3 linked regions of the Arabidopsis thaliana genome follow. The protein of the gene in region 3 interacts with the protein of the main gene of each other region in a pairwise test. Each region holds a gene or a part of one and is shown on either strand. Other genes may lie near its edges. The genes, in order: AR401, AT1G49840 and UREF.

Region 1 (7,306 bases), about 17 Mb from region 3:
GACAAATTGGGTTTGAGGTTGAAGATGAAGCGAGACGCAAACTCATCTCCATTGTCTTTGGTGTTGGATGTTTTTTTTTTGAGTTCTGAGATTTTTTGCTAAAGAGGATGAAGAAAAGCAACTGATGGGACTGTTTCTGGATGTTTTTTTTTCCTTAGATTCAAAACGCTGTCGTTTTTTCGTCCATGGAAATGTACAATTTTGTGTCTAACGTGTATGATTTTTCTACTCTTTTATAAGATTTACACATTACAAGTTTCAATCTTAAACATCAAACTCAAGTACTAACTTCCAATTCTAACAATTTTGGATTTTATGCTTCAACTTGTTTAATTCGTTATCTAATAACTAAGAAAATGTAAGAGTGTTTCAATCCAAAAAAATCCGAGTTTATCCGAAACAAAATCGAATAATCTAATCTAATATGGAGTAGACTGCAGATTAAATGTGGTTCGGTTCTAATAGTAATCTTTCTTTTTGTCGGTTTTATTCTTTTTTCAAGGAACAAGTGAATCCACTCATTTTGTTTTCAAATTACTAATTTCTTTGATTTTTGAATTAGTCTATGACACATACTTTAACATCAAAAAAGAAAGAAAAAAAACACTGACATATGACCAAATCAGTTTTCTCTTAAAAGAACTTTAGAGGTTATTAAGAACTCCCAAAAGCACATCAACAGTCTTGCTTGACACCAACATAAAAAGAAGAGAAAAGGTCTGGGCATTATGTTAAAACAAATCCAACAGGTTTGTTCTCACTTCCGCAGAAAAGCAACCGTTGCCACACGCGATCCTACAGACCCACTGAACATGAACGTCGGGTATGTCCTAACATGGCTGAGATACTCAAACGGAGGTTGATCAATTCTGCTTGCAGCTTCAGAGCCAGAGGAAAGTACATTGTTTGCGTCATTTCCATCTCCTCTACATAAGTTGGATTTTCTGATGTTGAAATTCTCTACTTCTTCCACCAGTTCGTCCTTTGTGTGGTTACACGATGTGATCACCTTTAACAGAAGCAGAAAGAAATTGAGATTAGACATAGATGCAGTTGTTTAAGGTGTTCTATAGCAAGCAAAACGGGAAACAAGAGCCTTTGGTTTCTTTCTAACAGCTTAAACTTATGTGCTTTAGCTGCTTATAACCTAAATCTTATTCAGGAGTCGAGATGCTCTTACCAATATTCCACCAGGAGCAACCAGCTTGGACACTGAATCCCAGTACATGACTCTGAAACAGACAAATGGGATTGTTATTGGTAACCAAACCTAATTGTGTGCTAGGTAACAGAAAGAAAGTGCGGTAATTTACTATAAAGGATAGCAATCTAAGGAGGAGGTACCTTTTGACAGGGCCATCAGGATGCAAACCAATAGCATCTAAAGTTCCTTTGTCCATTACCAGCTTGAACTGCTGTTCCAATTTTGTGTCAAGGATATCATCAACCTATGAGAGCCAACCGTTAGTTCCACAACGTAGAGCACCTTAGATCTATATTTCCCAAAAAACAATTTGCTACTGATGCTCATTACAGTAAGGATTACTAGTTCATAGAGAAGATTTCTGTGTCCTGTACTACTAGATGTTAATTTCATGTAACGTACGTATCCCATTGCTTGATCAAGGTAAGTAACCATTTTCAAGAAAGAAGAGACAGCATTTAGACTTTTGTGGAGGCAGACTTTTTGTAGTTGGGTTCTGTAACTCTTTTTTATATTGAAGCTAACAAATTCATACCATGAAACGGATATTTGGAAAGCCATCACGTTGGGAAAGATGTTGAGCGAGTTCTACAGCCCCGTCACTGTAATCAGTTCCGGTTAAATCAGAGAACCTAAGCCAGAAAAGTGCAAGGATGATGAGATTAGTAATGTCAAAACAAGAGTAGAGTCTAAACATAAGATTCTGGTTAGAAATGTGTTGGTGTGTAATTGTTCTACATAACTAACAATTATCAGTGATAAAGTTTAATAGCAATACCACATTCAGGACAGTTTGGCTTTCATAACACTGACGAAACAAGCACGAAATGCCTTAGGTATAAAGATATAGTAACATTTTTGTATCACTGCATAGGGGACTTACGCCTCAGAGAGAGGCTGACTTCTGAATTTCTACATTATTTTCTATGGAATTTTTCTTTATCGTGACAAACAATGGTTCAGAACCTATAATCATCAAAGTTCACTGTGGCCGTTATATTCCCAAAAGGCTAGTGATACACGGCCACCATCTAGGGATCCTCTATAAACAAGAAATTCAATAGAAGTTCTAGGAAGCAGACAAAAACCAGTACATTATGATAGCTTGTTTACTATAAATGCTACATGATTCTAAACTTCTCATACTAACCGAGTGGTAATCAGGCTAGTGAAAATTAACAAATAGCATTATCCATAGTCCATAGAGCTTCTTCGATTGAAACAACAAAGTTAAGCATTTAAAGCCAGAGCATGAGAAAATGTTTAGAAAACTCACCCTTCCTTAGCAAGTTGATGAAGGAGTAAGCCATTTCCAGTACCAAGATCAAGCACATTCCAACTAGACAAATACTTATCAGCCTGATCATTCACCTCTGTCGTAACATCGTTTTCAGAAACAGACATGTTTCTTTGAGAAATCTCAACGCATAAGTCTTTAGTCCAAGAAGTAACAATCTCCATCACATCATCTCCAAACCTAAAATTGCGAAAAGAAAAAAATAAATCAATAGCTAGGATCTTCTCTCTTAAGTTCCATAGTGAGATCTGAAGAAAGTTACCAAACTTCACCAGCATGACCATGCTCTCTGAAATTAGTAAGCTCATCGGAATACGCTGCATCCCAATAGCTTTGAAGACCAAGCATTGATTGACCTCCTCCATCAGCATCTGGCTCTTCCTTATCAGAACTATACACACCAATCCAATTCATCAATTACTCGATAGATTCGACTTTAACAAGCGCCTAACGTATTTTAGAACATCAACATAAAACCCTAAGATCCCCAATTTCTCAATCTAATCCATAACTCTATACAATTCTCCCCCATTGTAGCAGAAATACGAAACCTGTAATCGGAAGAGACACGGAAGTTAGCGGACGAGAGAGCCTCGGCGGCATCGGCGTGACGTTGATCGTCATCGAGAGTGCTTCCATACTCACTTTTGATCGACCACGAATCCGCCGCGATAGATCGATCGTCATCGGAAGCCAAACTATCCGTTGTTGTCGTTGTCACCGCGGCGGCGGCTCTGGCTTGTTGTTGAGGAGTCGTCTCAGGTTCTTCCGGTAGCAATCTGATTCCCGCCATCGCAGATTCAACGCCACAGAGAATAAACAGTACGGTTCCTTTTTTTTTTTTGACGCAGTCGAAGCTGAAAATGAAACCCCTACTCGTGATAATCCTTCACTTGTATTGTATATATATAACAAATCTTCTCTTTTCTTTATTACTTTGAGACATAAATATTAATGTTTCTAGGAAAAAGTATTTTAACACAAAAAAATATTTTGGTAAGTTTTTTTTTTCTTGATTATTTGTTAATTATTGTTATGAATCATTTTTATTACAAAATATAATTAAAATTATACTAGAAAGAAATCATTAAACTATTTTGGTCAAAGTTATTATACTTGCGAAAGGTCTTATGATTTTAGACATTTAGTGTAGACTGTAGACATTTATCTGATAAGCTCAAAGAAAATACTATTCGCAAGAAAACAGAAGTGTTTGTAAAAAATGTCTAGTCAAAGTAGGCAAACTTTTTATTTAGCTCTTATGGAATAACGTTATACGATCCATATACATCATTCATCAACAATACTCGTTATACGTATAAGCATAAAGTGAAGTTTTATTCATTTGTAGGATAGTGGAGAATATTACAAAACAACAAGAAGAAAAGACGACAAAGCACCATAAGATCGACGAAAGAAGAGAATCAACAATGAAATCATATTAACAATATATTTGGATCAGTTCTTGCGAAGCACGATGAGGTATTGCATCCCGGGTTTGACCTTATGGAGGCGAGAAATCTGTTCGCGTGCCTTGACCTCAACAAGCTCAAAGGCTTTCCTCATGACTTCGATTCCAAAATGTGCGGATATAAAAGCACCATATAAGGCCTTGAAGGAGATGGCCAATGTCTTGGGGTCTAGCGGAAACTCATTCTTAGAGTGAATGATATCCTCGAAAGCCTCGATTGTGAACTTCCCATTCTCCTCAATGATTTGCCTTATCTCGCCTTGTTCTGCAAAGTAGATTGAGGTTTTGAAAGTGTCCACCTTTTCCTGTTCGGTGACACCCTTTTTATATTAAAAAGAGATAATGTTAGTTCGTACTTACTTCATATGCAATTGTAGGTAATACTTTAAAAATCACATTACGTACCTTTTGAGCAAGGTCATTAAGAGATTCTCCAATAAAATCCATTACTGTTCCTTTAAGGGTCTCGGACATCTTAACTCCGTCTCTCATACACGATCCTAAAAGCAACATCAATCCCCCGGGCATGAGCTCCTCAGCTCTAGCATCCAAAAGGTTTTTGGTGTCAATAGAGTACTGCTCAAGATAGGCTTTCTTCACAGCGGGGTTGAACCCGGTGCACTGCATGTCTTTGTTCCACAACGGAGAGTCGCGGTCCATGATCCCTTTGGGGATTTTGGAGGTGAAAAGGAATGCGTAACTCATGACTGCGATGTGGAAACTCTGCTTAGGAAGAACACGGTTGAAGAAGGAACCAGGAACCCCGGCGCTAAAGTATCTTCTCCCCGGAGGGAGTGTCTGGAAGAGAGTGTTGAAGTCATTGATTCTTAAGTCGTTGAAGAGGACTTGGAACTCGATGTTATCCTCCGGGTTTTGTCCGGTTTCTCTAAGATACTTCTCTTCCACGGCATCTATTATGTTTTGGACTGCCACAAAAGTGTTAGGTCCACTTGCACAACCGAAATCCGCTACAATGAAGCGATTCGAAATCAAGTCTAGGTCGAGGTTGGCGGAGATCGCCTCGGTCATCTTGTCCTTTGCCGCTTCCAACAAAGCTCTCTTTATATAGAGGAGACTCAGTTAAATACATACATCTTTGGAGTTAAGAACCTTGCTAGCTAGTTATGAAAATTTGCAAATCATATAAATGTATGAACCTGATACGATGACTGTTGGTTGTAACTTTCAGGGCCATATCCACCAATCATGATCCAATCTTGAGTAGTAGTCATTATATATCTCTCTGTTTTATCTCAAACTTCTTTTCTTGTTTAACTTTAGTTTATGATGAGAGTAGTGAGTCCATAGACCTCTCTCTATGCTTATATATATAGTGCTTGAAAGGCAATATACTGAGAACTAATTAAACATGTGCATGGGAAACTCGTCAAAAGAAAACAACAGCTTATTTATTATAGGAACTTGAATGCGTTCAACATAACGTTCCATATATGACATAATCAATTAGACTATGATATGTGTTAAATAGTTATATGGAAATTGAAACACAAATAAGGTTTAGAAATTGAAGTAAGAAATGTTTCAGTAGAATTTTAACAATTTAATAAATTCAGGATTATGGTATTTTAGTGATATATAAATTGTCGAAAACTTAATTTAGAACCAAAAGAAATGTTTTGATTTATCGCAATTAAATAACATTAGTTTGTAAAATTATCTGTAATCATGTACTTCTAGCAGATTTGTCAATGTAGATCATAGCCTTCAAAGAAGCCATGGATGGCCAATTGTTTGAGAAGAAAGAGTCCAAATTTTTATAATATTTGTTTACTTCTTTTTTTTTTCTCAAAGTTGTATTATTAATAAGGACCAGTAGTCCAGTACCCATATAAGTACACACCAAAATATTTGTTTACTTCAAAAAACAAAATTTACAATTTTATTGAATAAAAACAAAGATTACACGTGATGTAACACGGGTTATGATCTACATAGAAAGTGAAGTACAGTAAAACCTCTATAAATTAATAATGTTGGGACTGCAAAATTTTTTAATTTAAAGAGGTTTTAATTTATCGATAAATTAATATTTATTAATTTATAGAGAGATTCTCCTAATTTGGTAATTTTTAAAAAATTCCATAAGACTTTTTTCACTATACAAAATGTCTTTCTAGAATCAATTACAAATAAAAAATAATGTGTCTAGAAAACAACACTAAATTTTTTTGAGACCGTTACATATTATAACTAAATTTCAAATAAGAATAAATACAAATTTAAGCAAAAAAAAATTATAAATATATTTCAAAACAATTTCTTATATAATATATATATATATATATATATATATATATATAATTGATACATTTATGTAGTTATTAATTTATGATATTGATGGGACCATATATTTACATAGAACTTTCAAAAAAGTTATTATCTTATTAATTTATCGATTTCTGTCATTATTTACACTAGCCCCAACTCGGATCGGAAAAATTTATAAATTTACAGAGATTATTAATTTATCAAATATTAATTTATGCAAGTTACACTGTATTAGTAGATTTGTCCAAGTAACTAGCAAAATCTTAGCCGTCAAAGAAGAATGTTCAACATTGGATAATTTTATATTGTTTGAACAAGATGAGAAATTCGATCGGTGGTTGCGATGTAAGGTACTATATATGCATATATAATTTGTGTTATACATGAAGATAGCCCTTTTTTTTAATTAATAATGGAGTATATAGTTAGTTGAATAATTATTATAAGTTTAGTATCCCATCTGAAAACTGTTTTTGTCAGTTACTATACACAACAATTATAATACTATAATAAACATTTGCTTCTAATTTGAAAGTTGGACGATAAACTTAACTAACAAATATTTTTGGAATTATAGCTATTCAAATTTAAATAAATATTATATATTTGGTTTTGTGTTTGACAATCTCAAGAAAAAAACAGAGTTTGGACACCTATGTACGGATCGAATTTCTATCAATAGCAACGGTGAGTTATGTGTATACATAGAAAAAGTTTGTTTTTTGTAGAAGTTTTTTAATTTTCGGTGGCTTATACACAATTAACTCTTACAATAATAGAGAAAGAGCTATAAATCTAATCTAAATACTATAAGAAAATACACAAAATGACGCTAGAATAAAAGAAAATTTCTAGTCTAAAAGAACATTTAAACAGATGACTAGTATTTTTAAAAGTCAATTTTATATTACTAAAATATACTAACACAAAGAACTAATCGTAAAACAAACAAAAATCATGCTCTCAATTTTTTGATGTAATTATTTGTTATTTTCTAACTAAACAATGGAATTTTAACCAACATCAATATATATATATATATCTC
Region 2 (9,491 bases), about 11 Mb from region 3:
CTAGTACATTAACAATTAGATTTGAGTTAAGCAACTAACTAATCAATAGTTTCTCCATTTATTCATTTTTTTTCGGGAAAAATGTTGTTTAATACACCAACTTTCAAAAAGTGGCCATTTAAACCATGAACTCCATATATGGCCAAATAAAACTTAGTAAAAGCGTTGACCGACCATTTTATACATCTCAAAACGTTGACCAGGCCAAAAATCCTGCGACGTTAGCAGTCGTTAACAGAGTCGATAACAGGCGTTAGCAGGCGTTAATTAATCCGTTTAAACACAAAAATCTTCAAACGAACAAAAATGGAGAGGCTTTTGAAGATTTTTGAATTTGGGAATTTTAGGGCATGAGAATTGGAATTGGGGATTTTAGGGATTGAGAATCGAATTGGGAATTTTGTTGGTTTCGATTAAACACAAAACGACGTCGTTTGTGTTTAAACGGATTAATTAACGTCTGCTAACGCCTATTATCGACTCTATTAACGACTGCTAACGTCGCAGGGTTTTTGGCCGGATCAATGTTTTGGAATATATAAAATGGCCGATCAACGCTTTTACTAAGTTTTATTTGGCCATATATGGAGTTCATAGTTTAAATGGCCACTTTTTGAAAGTTGGTATATTAAACAACATTTTTTCCCTTTTTTTCCGTCAATTTCTCCATTTATTCAGTTTAGTGTTTCATAATGCTCTCCCCGTTTTCTTGGGACCTATGTATTAGTGGACTTTACTTGGATAGGCCCAATAATTGGGCTTTTCCCCTTAGTTTTTTATTACAGCGACACCGTTTTTAAAGATGTTTTGTCTTAGCTCCGACAGCAAGTGGGAGATGACGTCACCTTTTCACTGCAGTTTCCCTTTACTTTTTCCTCGCAATTTTCTCTCTTCTCTCTCTCTGTCCTCCTTATCTCATCGTCTCTGACTCGCTGCACTTAGTTTCAGATCATATAAACGAATTTGGTGATTGATCGGTGCATGACGAGCGCATCGGAACTCTTCTCTACACGAAGATCACGTCCGGGTCGATCCGACCCGGCTTTAGAATCCGACACTTCTTCCTATCGACACCACTCACACCATCATCATCGCCGTCACGGCGTCCATCATCATAATCAGCGTCATGATTCCGACGGCTGTGATCCTCTCCGGCGACCCACTCCCCGTCTCCGACGCTTCTTTCACCATCCGGTTAGTTACTTTCCACCAAATTAGTAATTACTAATTTCAGTAGTTGTCTGAATTTGGTCCTTTTTACTAAAATCTCCCCTAATTTACAGATTCAGGAACGTAGTAGACCTATTCGTGATGTTCAAGGCACTAGTCAGTATTTAAATACGGATAGTACTGATACTGAAACTCAGAGTAGCAGCTTTGTTAACCTAAATGGATCCGAGAGGCTTCCTGGAGCTGTTCTGCTTGCAAGGGATAGACTTTTCGAAAGATTGAGAGGTGTTTCTTTGTCTAGTAACAGGTCTGTGCTTAACCCACTGATAAATTTTACAGCTTTACTTGATCTGCACTCTAGTCTGATTTTAGATTTCTTTAAAAATAATTGCTTTTGTCTGATCAAGATTCTTTGAAGCATGTTTTGATTTTGCTCTTGTTTCTTGTGAGGATTGGTCAAGACTTAGTGTAAAAATCAGTTTTTGTGGATTATTGTTGCTTTGTGTATTCTTTAATATCTTCTTTGAAGCCTCTTTTTCAAAATTTGGTTACGGATTTGTTTCAACTTTGTTTTTCTGATTCAGTCGAAGCAACAGAGTTTCATTGGATGATCAAAGGGAGTCTTCATTTCATTCTATAGATGGAGATCCAATTTTTCAACTAGCAGGGCTTCAAGTGACCTATGAATGCAACAAGAAACCACAAGGTCTTACTCAAGATGCTATTAACTGTTTACACCGGCAAACTTTTAGCTCAGCCGAGGTTAAATCCGAGATGAGAGATTGTAGCATATGTTTAGAGAGTTTCACTAAAGGTGACATGCTAATATCCTTACCCTGTACCCATAGTTTCCATTCTTCTTGCTTAAACCCTTGGCTTAGAGCTTGTGGAGATTGTCCTTGTTGCCGTAGAGCCATAGCAAAGGAATAGAAACTTGTAAATAGAATCTTTGCCTAACCATTAGGCCATAGCCATACACATCTTCTCTTCTTCTTGCTATAGACATCCTTAAAACGATCTTCTGAGTTTTGTCGCCCATGAGTGTTTTTTTTACTGTCACATGTTTGTAATGGTTTTTGTTGTGCCATTAGGCAGTTCAAGCGTTGATATCGTATGGTGTGAATCTTTTTAGTTTTATTCACTGTGATCTCTCTTTTAATGTCTTGTTGGTTATATGAAAGAGACTTTTTCCAAATCCAAATCTTGATCCGACAATTTGGTTATGCTTTGAGGTTATAGCTCAACAACTTAACGTTTTCATTTTCAGAAATTTTGATTGTCTCAATCTGGTGATACTACTTTAAAGCTTTGCTTCCTCTTCCAAAACGTTGTCATTATCATACATCCATGTACGTTACATATATTGAAGTCTAATATCAAAAGATTCAATCAATTTATAACAACTTTAAAAGAAAGTTATGCCAAAAAAAAGAGAACTTTAAAACAAAGTTAAGGCTAAAAGGAGAAGACAGTTGTGCACAAAAAGCTATTTTTTGCTACAAAAGCATATCAAAATGGACCCCTTTCTTCATAAATTCATGATCATCATCTTCAATTCCTTTCATAAAATCCCATTTATTTGCTCCTAACCATCACTTTCTCTATTGGGTACCTAACACACCTCACTCTCTAACCACTAAAATTAACAATACATACATTAAGAATGTCCTGCCTTTCTTTTTCTATCACATCAATTTCATGTCTTCGACAACATTAAAACCTATATGATTCAAATTCAACCAACTTAAAACGGTTTAGTTCAGTTTAAAATCAACGAAAGCTGAAGAAGATAAGAGAGCTTCACTTGCTAACAATTAACTTTCCATAGATTGAAATTTTGACTTGCTAGAAAAATATGAGACAAATTCAACATTTAAGCAGCAATTCTCCTTCTCTTGCTGCAAATAAATCCCATCACCTTACTCAATAATATTGAAGGCGACAAAGAAAATAAGAGAAATGAAACTTAAATAAACCAATCGTGTAATCAAACTCCTAATATTTGAGCTGTTAAACAAAGGGGTTAGTTAGTCTCATTTCAAGGCTCGAGTCTTGTTATTAGGATTACTATGCACAGATTGCATCTTCCCTACCATACTCAGACATCAATATGCCAAACAGGATCATTGTCGAAGCTTCCTTTCTCCAAGGCTGCAACTTTAGCTCTATGAGCTGTTGTTGAAGCCAACGCTAGTGAGCTCTTCCCTTTCTCCTCTTGACCCGAGTACTCGCAGGCTTCAGTTAACGAACCAGACCGAAGATCAGCGGGTGGGATAAAGCAATCTAGAGACAGACCAGGAACATTGAAAGCGACTTCTTCAATGGTCCATCTTTCCTCCATCTTTGTCCTAGTGTGGCTCATAGCAACTTCCCCAAATCTGAAGAGGGTAACAACAGAGCGTCCAGAGTGAGCAATCATGATCCCTTCCACCTGTTTGTAGTCGTCTAGAGACGAATTGATCGTGGTCTCCCAGTAAACAGCATCACCATCGTTAGATTGGATTCGAGTCAACTGCGAATCCTCAATTTGAGCTAGAAGTCCTGTTCTTTGGCTGAAGTAACCGAAAAGGATGTGTCTTACAATCTCTGCTGGTCCTTCACTCCTCGCCCTTAGCGTTTCAGGATCAGTACATAGCTTCAAAATGAAACAATCTTCACCATTCACCTTCCTCTCTCCAACACATTTCGATTCAGCAAACATAGTAGCAGTAGTTCTCGGATCAAGTCCCTGAAACATCATTTAACATAACAGAATCAGCATTGGATTGATTTCAAAACCATGTAAGTTTTAGTGTTTGGGGATTAACCTGAAGTGCACGACGAAGAGGCCTGACGGGTCCTTTAGCAGTGTGAGAACCAAGCCAAGGAGTATGTCGCCAAACAAGCTTCCCATTACAGCCAGCACGAACTTTACTACCACCAACAGAGAGCTCAACGTACCACATATCAGGATTCATCTGCCAGAGAACAAACCCACCAGTTTCCGACTTTGTAGAGTTTCGGTTTCTAACAGTTCCTGTAGGAGTTTCAAGCTCTGAAGTTATCATCTTTAACTTACCCATAGCATAAGCGTTCTTAATGGCGTTATGTAACTTGTGGCCACCACAAGCCGCCGTGTACTGTTGCAAAATGTACTGTGCAGATGATGTTTCCTGCAAACAACATATCACCAGAGAGAAACAAAATTTACACAATAATAGAAACAAAAATCGAATTTTGTTTGAGTAACTAATCTCTGAGTATTACATGAATCAAACCCCCACCAGATAATGACAATATTCCACCAACCAATCCATAAATCATCCAAAAATAAGATTTTTAACTAAAAACCAAAAAAGGAAAAAAAAATCATAAACAAGAAATTAAATCGAAAATGTGGAGCAGAGAGATCTGGAATCATAAATTTACGATTTTTATCGGATTAAAAACATAAAGTTTGTGTTTTTACTTCCCAAAACCCTAAAAATTTAGAAATGTAACAATGAGAATAATCAGAGACTAACAGTGGGAGAGTCTCTGATGGTGAGATGAAGAAGATGACTGGAGGAAGAGACGTTAATGGGAGCGAGAGGAGCTCCCATAACACCGAGAAGAAGTCTCAAATCAGACTTCCGATAAGCCGGCGTAGTTGAAGTCACGGACGGAGCACGTGACCACTGACCTTTGACCCAATGACTTAAACCCGACCCGAGTCGTTTCGAATCCACTCCAGAGACTTCACCGTTATCTGGATCAGGACCTTCCATTACTGGTCTTAAACTACTGGATCTTCCAATAAACGGCTCAGGTTGCGACAAGTAATAACCTCCTCTTTCTCCTCCGATTACTCCTCCGCCGCCGCTGCAGCCGGAGCTTGCGATTAGTTTCTTTCTTCCCCAGAGAAGAGCTTTCATGTGTGGGGTTGTTGAACGAGACGGGCTTGCGGAACGAGAACGTGGTCTTGAACGAGAAGGAGATAAGCCTCTTACGACTTCGTCTCTGAGTGATGAGAAAAAACCTTGTTTCTTTTCCATTTTTTATGGACTCTTAAAAATGTAACCTTTCGTCTTCTTCTTCCTCGTAACCGAAACAAATTGAAGAGTTCGAAAAACCCTAAAAGGACAGAGTCGCCGGAGAACGAGAGAGGAAGAAGTCGCAGCGGAGAAGAAGAGAGAGAGAGCGTTTTGACGATACTTTTAAAGGACCCGAGTGAGTGAAGAATCCAGAGAGCGAGACTACAGAGGAAAAGGATTTTATCGGTAAATGACTATTTTGCCCTCTTTAGTATTTGGGGGAAAAAAACAAAAAGTGAATGGATTTAACGCGGCTAAGTTTAGAAGTGGGAACATCATTGTCAAAATGCGTTGGTTCGTTAGTTCGTTATCGTCTTAACTTTTTAAGTTTGTGATTGTTTTTGATAAGTTTAGGTGAAGAGTATCAAATCGCGAATACAAGAAAAGAAAAAAGGTAGATGATATTTTCGTGTTTCATCATTTAATTCTAAGAAGTGTGTGTGGGAATGATGTGAGAAACGTATTTGAAATAAAGACTAATTGACAATGGACTTTTGTGTTTAAGTGTGGGATTGCTAGTGGCACCGTTATGGATGGTAGACAATTACAATTAGATGGTCTTTGATTTAATGTTTGCTTTTTCCAATCGGGTTGTGTATTAATTCTCAAGAAATGGGTTCGATCGGTAATCATCGTTTTAACGAGATTGTTATGATCTATATTTTCTTGTAGATAAATATTTAGAGTAAGAAGACGGTTTGGCTGAAATGGACGGTTAAACAACACTAGTAAATTATTGGTGCTAATTCATCATATAAACGAGTATATGTAGGGTAAATGTGAAGGAGGAAAACGAAAATCTAGAGTAAACTTGAGAAAAAGGCCTTTTCTAGTCCAGTTCTTTAATATAGCTAAACGATTTGACTTGCTAGTATAAACCATGACAATTTATAAGTTTTTAAATTAACAGAATGTTAAGATATCCGCTATTTAAGTGTTTAGTATAATTGATATGTATATATGCACAAATCAGAACAATCGATAGATATTTAATCGGAGTAAAATGTTGAAACTAAAATATAGGTTACAAATTTACAATGAAGCTACGTAGGTGAATAATTAAAAGTGGCCACTATATATGATGATTAATTAATCATAGTTTGAAAGCTTGAAACGTGTGATGAAACTAAACTTAAACATATTAAAGGAACCACGTGAATGTCTTTGAGGTTCTCACTTCTAACGGTCAAAAGAACATAGAAAAAACACACAAATCCTTCTTTTAACAAAACAATAACAGACTCGTTAACTGTTTCCATTGTTATTATATAGTGGTTACAGCTAAGTTATGATTCGTATATATAAACCTTTGGGTCAATCAAAACTATTGCAACAAATTCAATACTATCTGTCTCCCCCAAATGCTAAAAAGTAATTAATTGGGGACATTGGTGTGCATGTGTGATTCACTGATTCTTGATAATCAATTTTCCGACTCCTAAACCTTCATGGATCCTGACAAAAAAAAATGTTTTAAGAAATCTTAGTTTAACAGTCGACTAACACTTATCCCCTATTCATAAAATGTTAATTGACATCATACCAACGAAAGATGTATTACTCGAATATTGTTTTTCCTTGTTGACGTCATTTATTAGTCTAACTAGCTTCTTTTATGATTCCAGGCTTTTAACGAACATATAGAGAGGTATATTTTGGATTGAATGTTTCAAGAAATCACATGCCATCATGTTAAACCGTGTTTGGATTTTAATTACGAACTTTCAACTTAACACCAACTGACAATAAAAAATATTGGCTGATATCTCTTATTAACTAGGCGAGATATTATTATTTCCAACTTTTCATTTACATATACATTTTTGCAGCCATTTTGTAAAATAAATCCTATAGTTGAAACTTATTTACAATGATATGCTACTGACATTAAATTTTTAATTATTTGATTTGATTTTTAATTTTTGATTTAAAATATCAATCACGTTATCATTCAAATTTAATCCCAACAACAAACTTCAAATCAAATTCCTTAAAATTAGCTACACATAATCATTCACAACATTATTAATATTATACTTTATTAAAAGGTAAATATTGTATTTATTAAATTAAACGTTTATAATATTTATAGGAAAAAATGTTTAGAATATTTATAAAATAAGAAATCTATAAAAATTAAATAATCATTTGAAAGACACCTTTTAAATTGATTTGAATTATAAATCTTTTAATAAAAATATTATTTAAACAAAAAATAAAATAATAATATTTAATTTCACCGAACGGATTAGATGGTAGAACGGATTTAGAATATTATAATATATGAACTTTATAACAATTAAATAAGCATTTCAAATAAAATTTTTAAATTGATATGAATTATATATATTTTAAATTAAAGTATTATTAAAACAAAAATAATAAAATAATGTTTTATTTTACTGAACGGGGTTAGATGGTATGACGGGTTTGGATCGATAGTAATATGAGACAGTATATCACTGGTGAAATCCATTAAATATATTTAATTTCACTGAGGTAAGACGGATTTGGGTTTATAGTAATACGAGACGGTATACAATGAGTGAAATCCTATAACTAACAATTAAAATACAGTTATATAATTTAAAATATATAACAAAACAAACAATCTTAACAAAAACATATATAATTTAAAAATCGACTTATGGTGTATCCCATGATAAAATCAAGGGATTGTACAATATATCAAAATTAGAATTATATATTTATAAAATACAAAATAATATGTTACATATAAATAATTTATAAAAAAAAAAAATTTTCAGTTTTTTTTACACCGTGGGTTAAAATCTAGTTGAATATTAAACTCAACTACATGTTCATGTTATTTGATCAGTAATGTTTCACTTATAGTTGAAATTATATGCTATTCAGTTAATAGTTATAAAATAAAAATACATATAAAATTTTACAAAAATTGAAATACATTTTCCTTCTTTTTTTTTAGTTAAATACATGAAACGAAAATTGCAATTATAGATAGAATAAAATTGTATATTTAGAAATTTGCACTATCTTGGTTTTTGTATTAAAAAGAAAAAGGGATAAAAAAAAGTATATATTGAATGGGCCGTATCAGAAAATAACATGACGCGTTCCACTAAGAGAACAAAACTAACGTCTCTTAGAACACCCCCATTGGTAGAGTCCCTAATTAAGGATTTTCAATATATTAATCATATTTTTTGCATAATTCAAAGTTAAAGACTTCATAAGGAGATTCTTATTTTTTCCTCCTCCAATGGTAGAATCTCATTAGGGATTTTCAGAGAAACCTTAAAAGATCAACATTTTTTTCCAGAGAAAATAAAAACCAACAAAATCAAGTCCAAGGAACTATATTTATCTTCTAGACTCTGCTCAAGTTTCCAATTCATCCTGAGCCATGTCTTTGGTGATCTTGTTCTCCATCTGAAGATCAACAAGAATCTAACCAGGCCTAGTTCGACCAATCCCATGATTTCTTCTACCCCTAACCCACATAAGATTGAAACATACATACATTTCGTCTCTTAGCCACAAATGTAATCACATACAACACCAAACACTCATAAATCACCAAATAAATGTTATTTAAAAGCCCTTAACGCAACTTAGCTTCAACTACAGAGAACTTAAAGACACGACTGATGTAATCGTATACAAGGATCAAAGTAAATAATTGTGACTAGAACTCGAAATATTAAGCATGAAAATTTTTGAGATCTCTAACCATAAGAAAGCATCAATTGAAATAAGCAATGTGAAGAACTTACCAGGTTAAGGAAATTATGAGCAAGGCATCTTACGGAGGGACAATTCCTATACACAAAGCTATTAGGATTCATGTACTCATCAATGTCTCTGACTCAAAAAATATTTCGACGTTACCGTGACGGTTCTATTTACAAAACTCTGATTCCCTGTTAGGTGGTCCCTCTTCAAAGCTAAGAGAATGTGTAAACACACAACACAAACACAAGTTTCTTTTGGCAAATCAAGTCTAATTCCTTCTCATAACTTGGCAGTCTTTAAGTACACAAAGTAAAGCAAAGGGGATCGACAACTAATCCTAAAAACAAAGAACATTATTAACAAAGTGGGAATATGGAAACGTGGAGCTTGATCTCCTAAATCTAAGTAACGCACTTATCAATTCTTCTATTCTTTTTGACCATTTCTTCTGTGGTTCAATCATGGTTAAGCACTTATCATTCACCAAAAACATCTGCTTCATATATCCACGTTACCTGCAATGATAAAATGGGTTTGATTCCTTGATAACTC
Region 3 (7,819 bases):
GAGTGGAATGGAATATATTGATAGACTTGTAATGATTTGCTAAGTTTATATTTTTTATATATTTTTATTTTGGGATTCATGTTTAAGAAAGTCTTGAAAGAGCTGTACGGTGTAGGCTTTTATCCTGCGTAGTATCAAATTGTTAGGAACAAAAGGCTTCGTCTCTGAATAGTTAGTATTTTACTATTTTTAGTCAATATTACGACTTGGTGAATTCTGAAACCTAGTGAGAGTATTACTTCTAAAATCCAGTATCTTTTGGATTTTCGTTTGTCTTTGAGAGTATTACTTTGGGAACTAACTTCTTATGATATTGTATGTTCAAAGATTTTTCAAGTCAACAAAATATAGGTGTGAAGAAAACGAAAATTGTTTGACTGCATCTTTGAACATGTTATTCAACTTTGCATTTCCATTAATATTTTTTTCTCCCAAACATGACACAACACATATATAAACGTTGTCACATCCTCTTCGTCAAACATAAAAAATGGAGGTCAAAAGCGTGAACACCACGGCGATGATACTTGGTCTATTTTTTCTAATCAGCTTCGTCGCTGCGGAAGATCCGTATAAATTCTTCGAATGGCACGTAACTTATGGTAACATATCTCCGCTCAAGGTTGCACAACAGGTGATTTATCTTTAACCGTATCCACACCAAATTATTTGTTGGTTTGTTAATTGGATTTAAGTTTGTTTACCGTTTTATCTACTAGGGTATATTGATCAATGGGAAGTTCCCAGGACCGGACATCGCCGCTGTTACCAATGATAATCTCATCATTAACGTATTCAACCATCTCGACGAACCTTTCCTTATATCATGGTATATATGTTTCCTTTTCCTTATACAAAAAAACGAATGTCTAGTTTTCTTTTGTAATCTCTTGCTTAGAGTTAAGGCTGTAAGAAAAAGACACATAACTTTAGTTTATTTATGTGTTCAAATTCATATATTAGATATATATGTCAGTTGCATCTATATGGTATAAATCGTTCCGTAATAGATAACAACCAAAAATTTGGGATCATATATATAATGCTTCAATTTAAATTTAGACGGTGTATATATTTGCATGGCGTTTATACATGAAATTCTTAGCAGAGGACTCATTGTTCCTATTTGATGTCTTTTTGTAAAGGAGCGGGATTCGAAACTGGAGGAATTCATACCAGGACGGAGTGTACGGGACGACGTGTCCAATCCCGCCGGGGAAAAACTACACCTACGCTCTTCAGGTTAAAGATCAGATTGGAAGTTTCTACTACTTCCCCTCTCTCGGCTTTCACAAAGCCGCCGGTGGATTTGGAGCTATTCGTATCTCCAGCCGCCCCAGAATCCCCGTTCCATTCCCAGCCCCCGCTGGTGATTACACCGTTCTCATCGGTGACTGGTACAAAACCAACCATAAGGTACGATTCCCCTCTTACGTATGGCGCAAGAAAAGGGGAAAGAAATAGTAGGGCGATAAAATGATTATATTTTGTTGTCGGGTTAGACTTAGAGAATGGGACAAAGTGTTTGTGTTTTTAACAAATTTGGAAAGCTGCATGCATGATGTATATCTGTACTTAAACGTTGTTGCTTGTTGGAATTTTGGAATTAAAAATTGTAATCTCTCCTTATAGGACTTGAGAGCACAACTCGATAATGGTGGAAAGCTTCCATTCCCGGATGGAATTCTCATCAATGGGCGCGGTAGTGGCGCCACCCTCAACATTGAACCAGGTTTTGCTTTTTCACCTTTCTTGTCTTGTTTATTGGTGATTCTCTGACTGTAAGTGTTAATAAGTTATGATGTGAGTTTTTCTGTAGGTAAGACTTATAGACTGAGGATATCAAATGTTGGATTGCAAAACTCTCTCAACTTCCGAATCCAAAACCACAAGATGAAGTTAGTTGAGGTCGAAGGGACACACACTATTCAGACTCCATTCTCTTCGCTTGATGTTCACGTCGGTCAATCTTACTCGGTCCTTATAACAGCTGACCAGCCTGCAAAAGATTATTACATTGTGGTCTCTAGTAGGTTTACCTCGAAGATCCTTATTACCGCTGGTGTTCTTCATTACAGTAATTCTGCTGGACCTGTTTCTGGACCTATTCCAGAAGCACCAATTCAGTTGCGCTGGTCTTTTGACCAAGCACGAGCCATCAAGTATTGTTTCATTTTTTTTTTTTTTTTTTTTTTTTTTGTATTGTTTCATTCTTTCATTGACAATTACAATCTTTGTTAGTTACTTAGTGGTATACAACCGTGTTTGAGCGGGTTTGTTTGTGTCTTATAGGACCAACCTTGCAGCGAGTGGACCTAGGCCAAACCCACAAGGTACATACCACTATGGCAAGATAAAAGTCACTCGAACAATCAAACTTGCTAGCTCTGCTGGAAATATCAATGGCAAGCAACGATACGCGGTGAATAGTGCATCATTCTACCCAACAGACACACCTTTGAAACTAGCGGACTACTTCAAAATTGCCGGTGTATACAACCCTGGAAGCATACCTGATCAGCCCACACATGGAGCAATATACCCTGTCACATCTGTTATGCAAACTGATTACAAAGCTTTTGTGGAGATTGTTTTCGAGAATTGGGAAGATATTGTCCAGACCTGGCACCTCGACGGTTACTCTTTCTTCGTGGTTGGGTAAGTTAAACAATCATATTTGCATCCACACGGTAAAATTTGGTAGCATTCTCTAAACCAAGATAGAGTTCTTAAGAAAATCGAAAGTTGTGTACATTTTCAAGACTATTGACTGATGATCACTTGGTAACAATTAGGATGGAACTTGGGAAGTGGAGTGCTGCCAGTAGAAAAGTCTACAATCTAAACGACGCAGTCTCACGGTGCACTGTTCAGGTGAGAGTCCTCTAAAGCCTTATATATTTTGATCACACAGTTAGCCATAAAAGCTCAGTATGGGTTATAAAAAAGGTGGATCATTGGATGAATTTGTGCAGGTGTATCCAAGATCATGGACTGCCATATACGTATCACTGGACAATGTAGGAATGTGGAACCTAAGATCAGAGTTATGGGAAAGACAATACCTGGGACAACAGTTTTACATGCGTGTTTACACACCCTCCACTTCCCTCAGAGATGAGTACTTGATCCCGAAGAACGCTCTTCTCTGCGGCAGGGCCACTGGCCACCACACCACGACACCCGGTCCTCTGAGTGAAGGAAGTGAGAGGTTTTGATAGACGATTGCAATGACTTTCTGAAACACATTTCATATTTCCTTATGGATTCTAGGTCACATATATATTGTTGATTAGTAATAACGAAATAAAAACAGATTTGTCTACAAATACACATATATGATCCAACTGAAAAATTAACAATAAGCACATAAACTACAAACAATTAACAATATGCACTAATCGATGTAACCTAAGTGAGGTTATATCATATGTTTTCATCAAGAGCAAAACAGTCTAGAAAACAAGTAACCGTGACAACCTTGCACAACATCCAGCAAAGGAGAAGTCTGACATGCTTCACCAGCTTCACGATTCATCCACTTCTCTAAAACGGTTTCAGTAACAATGGCAATGCGATGCTGCATCACCGAAGCACCCATCGGTCCAACTATGTTCAATCTCGTTGCAGCAGAAAGAACATCTCTGAGCGTTACAAACAGATACGCTCTCTGAGAAGTCTCGGAATCCATGCCGAGTAAACCACATACAAGCCCGAATATCGGTGCATGGTGGAAACATACATTTTTTGACCCCAAAGAAGCATCACGAATCATCTTAAGATTTGGTACCTCAGTAAAAACCGAAGCAGCTATACGAAACAAAGCTGATCCTTGTGACATTGACGCCTTTGAAGAAACTTGGTTAGTTAAAGTAGCGTTAAGTATTCCATCAAGTTTATGCCATGTCTCTATATCAGGAGATTTGAGAGCAGAGTAGACAAAAGGAAGCAATAAGCTAGCTGTGTTATCCAACACATGAATGATGTGAGTTTCTAAATCTTCAGGAGACGAAACTAACCGAGTCTGAATAGCTGCTTCGAGACCAAACGAATGAGCAAATCCTCCTGTTGGTAAAATTGAATCAAGTAATTGCCACTGACTCCACTGCATACAAGAAGAAGCTCTTGACATAACAATGTCGCGTCTTTCGTCTTCTTCCATCAATGAGACCTCTTTCTAAAGAGAAGTTAAACACACACAATGATGCATTAATATAGAGAAACAATCAGAGCAATGTTTCGATCTAAAAAAGCGATTTTTGAAACTTTGATAATCTAAGAAATTGAAACAAAACTATACAAAAGTGACTATATCAAGACTCTTTAGATAAATTCGGAGTCTTGATTCCATTGAACAGGTGAGATGAAAACAGAGTATGCTCAATGAAATCGATCGGGAAAAAAATAATCTAAAGATCTGAATCGCTAAAAAAAGGGATTGAAAAATCTACAGATAGGAAAGCTTTTTGGATGAACGAGAGGCGTCGGAGAAGATGAGTGATAGAGAGATATAGACTTCAGAGTCTCGACGGAGACAGAGGCGGAGAGATATAACTCCGACGGAAGACGAGAAGAAGGAACTAAACATTATTAATTCAACTTGATTTGTTTTTTACGGTTCACTTCGAAACCAAACGATAACCGACCGGTTTGCGTCTAAGCGAACCAAACTGTTTGCTGATAGATTGTTTGATTGTATACTGTGTTATTGAATTGCAGTTGTTCTTTTTTTTTTTTTTTTTAATAAAAGTTTTGTTTGTTAATAAGTTTTGTAATAGTTGTTTGATGATGATTTCAAGTCACATTTTTATTCTTGATGTATCGATGTTATCGCGACAAATGGTTATTAAGTCTTTGGAGAAGACTCAAAAGATCTAATAACCAATGGTTATGTATATATTTGAGTTGACCTAGTTTAGTTAAATCGAAATATTTTTTTAGGGTAAATGTTTTTGTTCACATAAACGCTTGTTTAATAAGGACGATGAATTAAGTAGATACAAATTAATAACTTAGTCATGCATAAAGTTTTACAAAAAAAATAGTCATGCAAAAAATAAAACATCGAAATTTTTTTCGTGGAATTAACAAAACTGAGGCAACCATCTACAGAAGTGGGAGCTTCCCTTAGGAGGAGGTACAATAAATTTTTTACCACCGAATAGTTGATTGTTGCAGATTTTCTTGCAAGTTTCATCACAAATTTCAGGAGTAGAATTTTTCGCCGCTTTCAAACACCGGTTATGTGCACAATGTTTCACACACATTGTTAGACTGTTTGATTGAGCAATGTGTGCAGAAAACATCATCGTCAATATAGCTACGAACATGAAAACATTGCATGTTTGAGTCGTCATAACGTAAATACTAGTGATGATTTAATACAAATGAGTATTACAACTTGTTTTGTATTTCCTGTTTATAATTGTGAAGAAGATGATTTGGTGGGTAATATTGGGTTAGTCTAGGTGATTTATATAGTGAAACTAATGTTGTCAATTTTAGCAATTGTTTTAAATATGTTTTTTGTTTCTCTCTGTATATAGCCAACAAATTCTGTAGAGTTTAGTTGTACTTTACTTTTTTAGTTGTCCAAACAAAATATTACTGTGAAAAAACAAATCATAGCTTACAGATATACCATATTCCAATTTTGGTTTTTTTGTAACCACATGTTATTACAGATATTTCTTTGTAAAGCAACATAGATCTATTGGATTAAAATCTATTAAATGGTTATGTGGATATGAATACTGTAACGATACCAAATCCAGATCAGTTAATTAAATTTGGTCACAGGATCTCTAAGCTCAAAAGAGACATAATCGTAGGATCTTGATCGCTACTGTCGTCTCTTATCCTATTGTTTCCTTGTCTTTCCCCATGTGATGATAAATACTTAAATTGAAAACACTTTACAAAAAAACCTTACAGATTTTTTTTGGTAAAAGACTCAAATTGAAAACAGAGAAGTGGCCCACAAATATGATACCCATACCATAAAATCCCATAATGGGAACATTACTTGAATCCTACCCAAAGATTCTCCATTCCTCCCATGTGATCATTCTTTTTAGTATTTTGTTCTTAACTTCACTTTTTCTTATATAAAAAGGTCCTTTTTCTTTGTGTGTTCTTTTATAGATAACCTTCTAGGACTCCTTTTATTCCTTCAAAATTGATAAGATCGTATAATTAATTACACGGATCTGAATAATGGCCATGTGAAGATCTATCAAGAAGTGGACTGAGCAAGAGTTTTTTTTATCGAATTAACTATGCAACAATATGTTGAAATCTATATTCAGGCATAACGTTATGTTTAGAAAAAGGTATATTGGACAAAATTGTAGATAATCGTACATATTAGCAAAAAATGTTCTCAAAACGTCAAATAAGTCCAAGACCCAAAACAACTATTTTTAATCAACATTACAACATTTTCTTTCTGATCAATTGATCAAACCATTCGGACCACAAATCAATAGACAGGTAATTTCCTTGAATATAAAAAGTTAATTATCTCTTATCTCTTATTTTGAATAAAATCAGCATATATGAACAGCGACAAAAGTTTGTTTAAAATGTGATTTTCTTCAATTTGTCATGTTCGGACCCGTCCGACGGAACCGGTCCAAATTGGTTTGAAAAGCATTTGTTATTTAATCAAGTCATACACTAAAAGCTTTGATCATTGTGAGTAGTAGTATATAGTGTAGAGGAAGTATGTGGGATGGTGGTCTAATTGAAAAAGTGATGATACATTGAAACTCATCACTACACATAACAAATCACCTGTCAATGTCTCTCTAAGTGTTTGGGTCTTTAGCTCTTGATATTGAAGCCTGTCTTCTTCTTTTTATTTTTTAAGATCACGTGAACGCTCAAAGTTTTTGACCAACAAATAAAATGGACCCCTTTTATGTTCACATCCAGACCCCAACTTTTATAAACTAGGTCAATCTAGCTCCTAAGCTTTAATCATGATTTATTTACTTACTTATTCAATTCCCATTTGGATTATAAGCACGTGATTTGAAATTTGTGAAGACAAATAGAAGACTTAATTTGAGCAATTTTCGAGATGATTAGCAAATAGGGAGAAGTTTCATCAAACCCGAAGCTAAATCTGATCTTTTGTTTCGCCCAAAGAAGAAAGAATTGCTTATGAAGCGATATAGTCTTGATAATGGAGAATTGCCCATGTGATGGATGTGAGAGCCATTTAAAGTTATGAAGAAACATAATAATTCTCACACGGAAATATAATGAAAACTAAAATCATTTGTACTAACACATGCATGAGTCTATTCATTAATTATCAAAAAATGTTGGTTTGAACTGAACGTCGACATGATGAATTCTAAGTTCAAATGAAAATTGAGTTTCTAAAAACAAAAAGTTTGAGGATTTGATTTAAATATTTTGACAATTGTTTCTAAATGTAAACAACTATACGCCGAAATTTCGATCAAGTTGTTAGAAAGAAATAAACTTGAAGTGAAAGTGAGGAGATAGAATTGAATATATTGTCGAATATGGAGAGAGACCTCCAAAATCACTCACTCACACATACATACCAAAGGAAGATGACTTGTATTAATGGGTCCCTTATATTCGGATACATTCTCTTTTTAATTACGAATGCTACAAGTGGATGTTTCTCGGCCAACACGTCCAAAAACTAATTTGATTTTTTCTTAACAAACAAATATAGATTCTCTGTTCACAGTATTTTTTTTAAAATCTGATTACTAGTTTTAAATAATATCTATTACACATGCCACGGATCCACAAGCGATCAATCATCCTTCTCTAA

What was found.
Region 1: the proteins of UREF (region 3) and AR401 interact in a two-hybrid assay, tested with the Arabidopsis thaliana proteins (one large-scale study listed by BioGRID).
Region 2: the proteins of UREF (region 3) and AT1G49840 interact in a two-hybrid assay, tested with the Arabidopsis thaliana proteins (one large-scale study listed by BioGRID).

What each region holds. Positions count from the first base shown.
Region 1 is NC_003070.9:24,865,595-24,872,900, forward strand, and holds AR401 (S-adenosyl-L-methionine-dependent methyltransferases superfamily protein), read right to left. Parts: upstream 3,494-7,306; 5' UTR 3,295-3,493; coding exon 3,053-3,294; intron 2,893-3,052; coding exon 2,764-2,892; intron 2,682-2,763; coding exon 2,481-2,681; intron 1,837-2,480; coding exon 1,740-1,836; intron 1,449-1,739; coding exon 1,345-1,448; intron 1,233-1,344; coding exon 1,181-1,232; intron 1,010-1,180; coding exon 758-1,009; 3' UTR 501-757; downstream 1-500. Other genes in the region: CLPP3 (CLP protease proteolytic subunit 3), read right to left, coding at 1-52; AT1G66690 (S-adenosyl-L-methionine-dependent methyltransferases superfamily protein), read right to left, coding at 3,960-4,292, 4,378-5,031, 5,130-5,204.
Region 2 is NC_003070.9:18,447,935-18,457,425, reverse strand, and holds AT1G49840 (glutamyl-tRNA (Gln) amidotransferase subunit A (DUF620)), read right to left. Parts: upstream 5,681-9,491; 5' UTR 5,184-5,680; coding exon 4,674-5,183; intron 4,323-4,673; coding exon 3,978-4,322; intron 3,899-3,977; coding exon 3,269-3,898; 3' UTR 2,963-3,268; downstream 1-2,962. Other genes in the region: AT1G49850 (RING/U-box superfamily protein), read left to right, coding at 982-1,194, 1,284-1,477, 1,755-2,100.
Region 3 is NC_003070.9:7,663,202-7,671,020, reverse strand, and holds UREF (urease accessory protein F), read right to left. Parts: upstream 4,575-7,819; 5' UTR 4,452-4,574; exon of another isoform or gene 4,178-4,451; 5' UTR 4,163-4,177; coding exon 3,440-4,162; 3' UTR 3,227-3,439; downstream 1-3,226. Other genes in the region: sks8 (SKU5 similar 8), read left to right, coding at 491-634, 720-829, 1,146-1,416, 1,633-1,732, 1,820-2,162, 2,293-2,658, 2,796-2,874, 2,976-3,218; AT1G21835 (Plant thionin family protein), read right to left, coding at 5,085-5,357. UniProt on the Arabidopsis thaliana protein: Required for the maturation and activation of urease via the functional incorporation of the urease nickel metallocenter.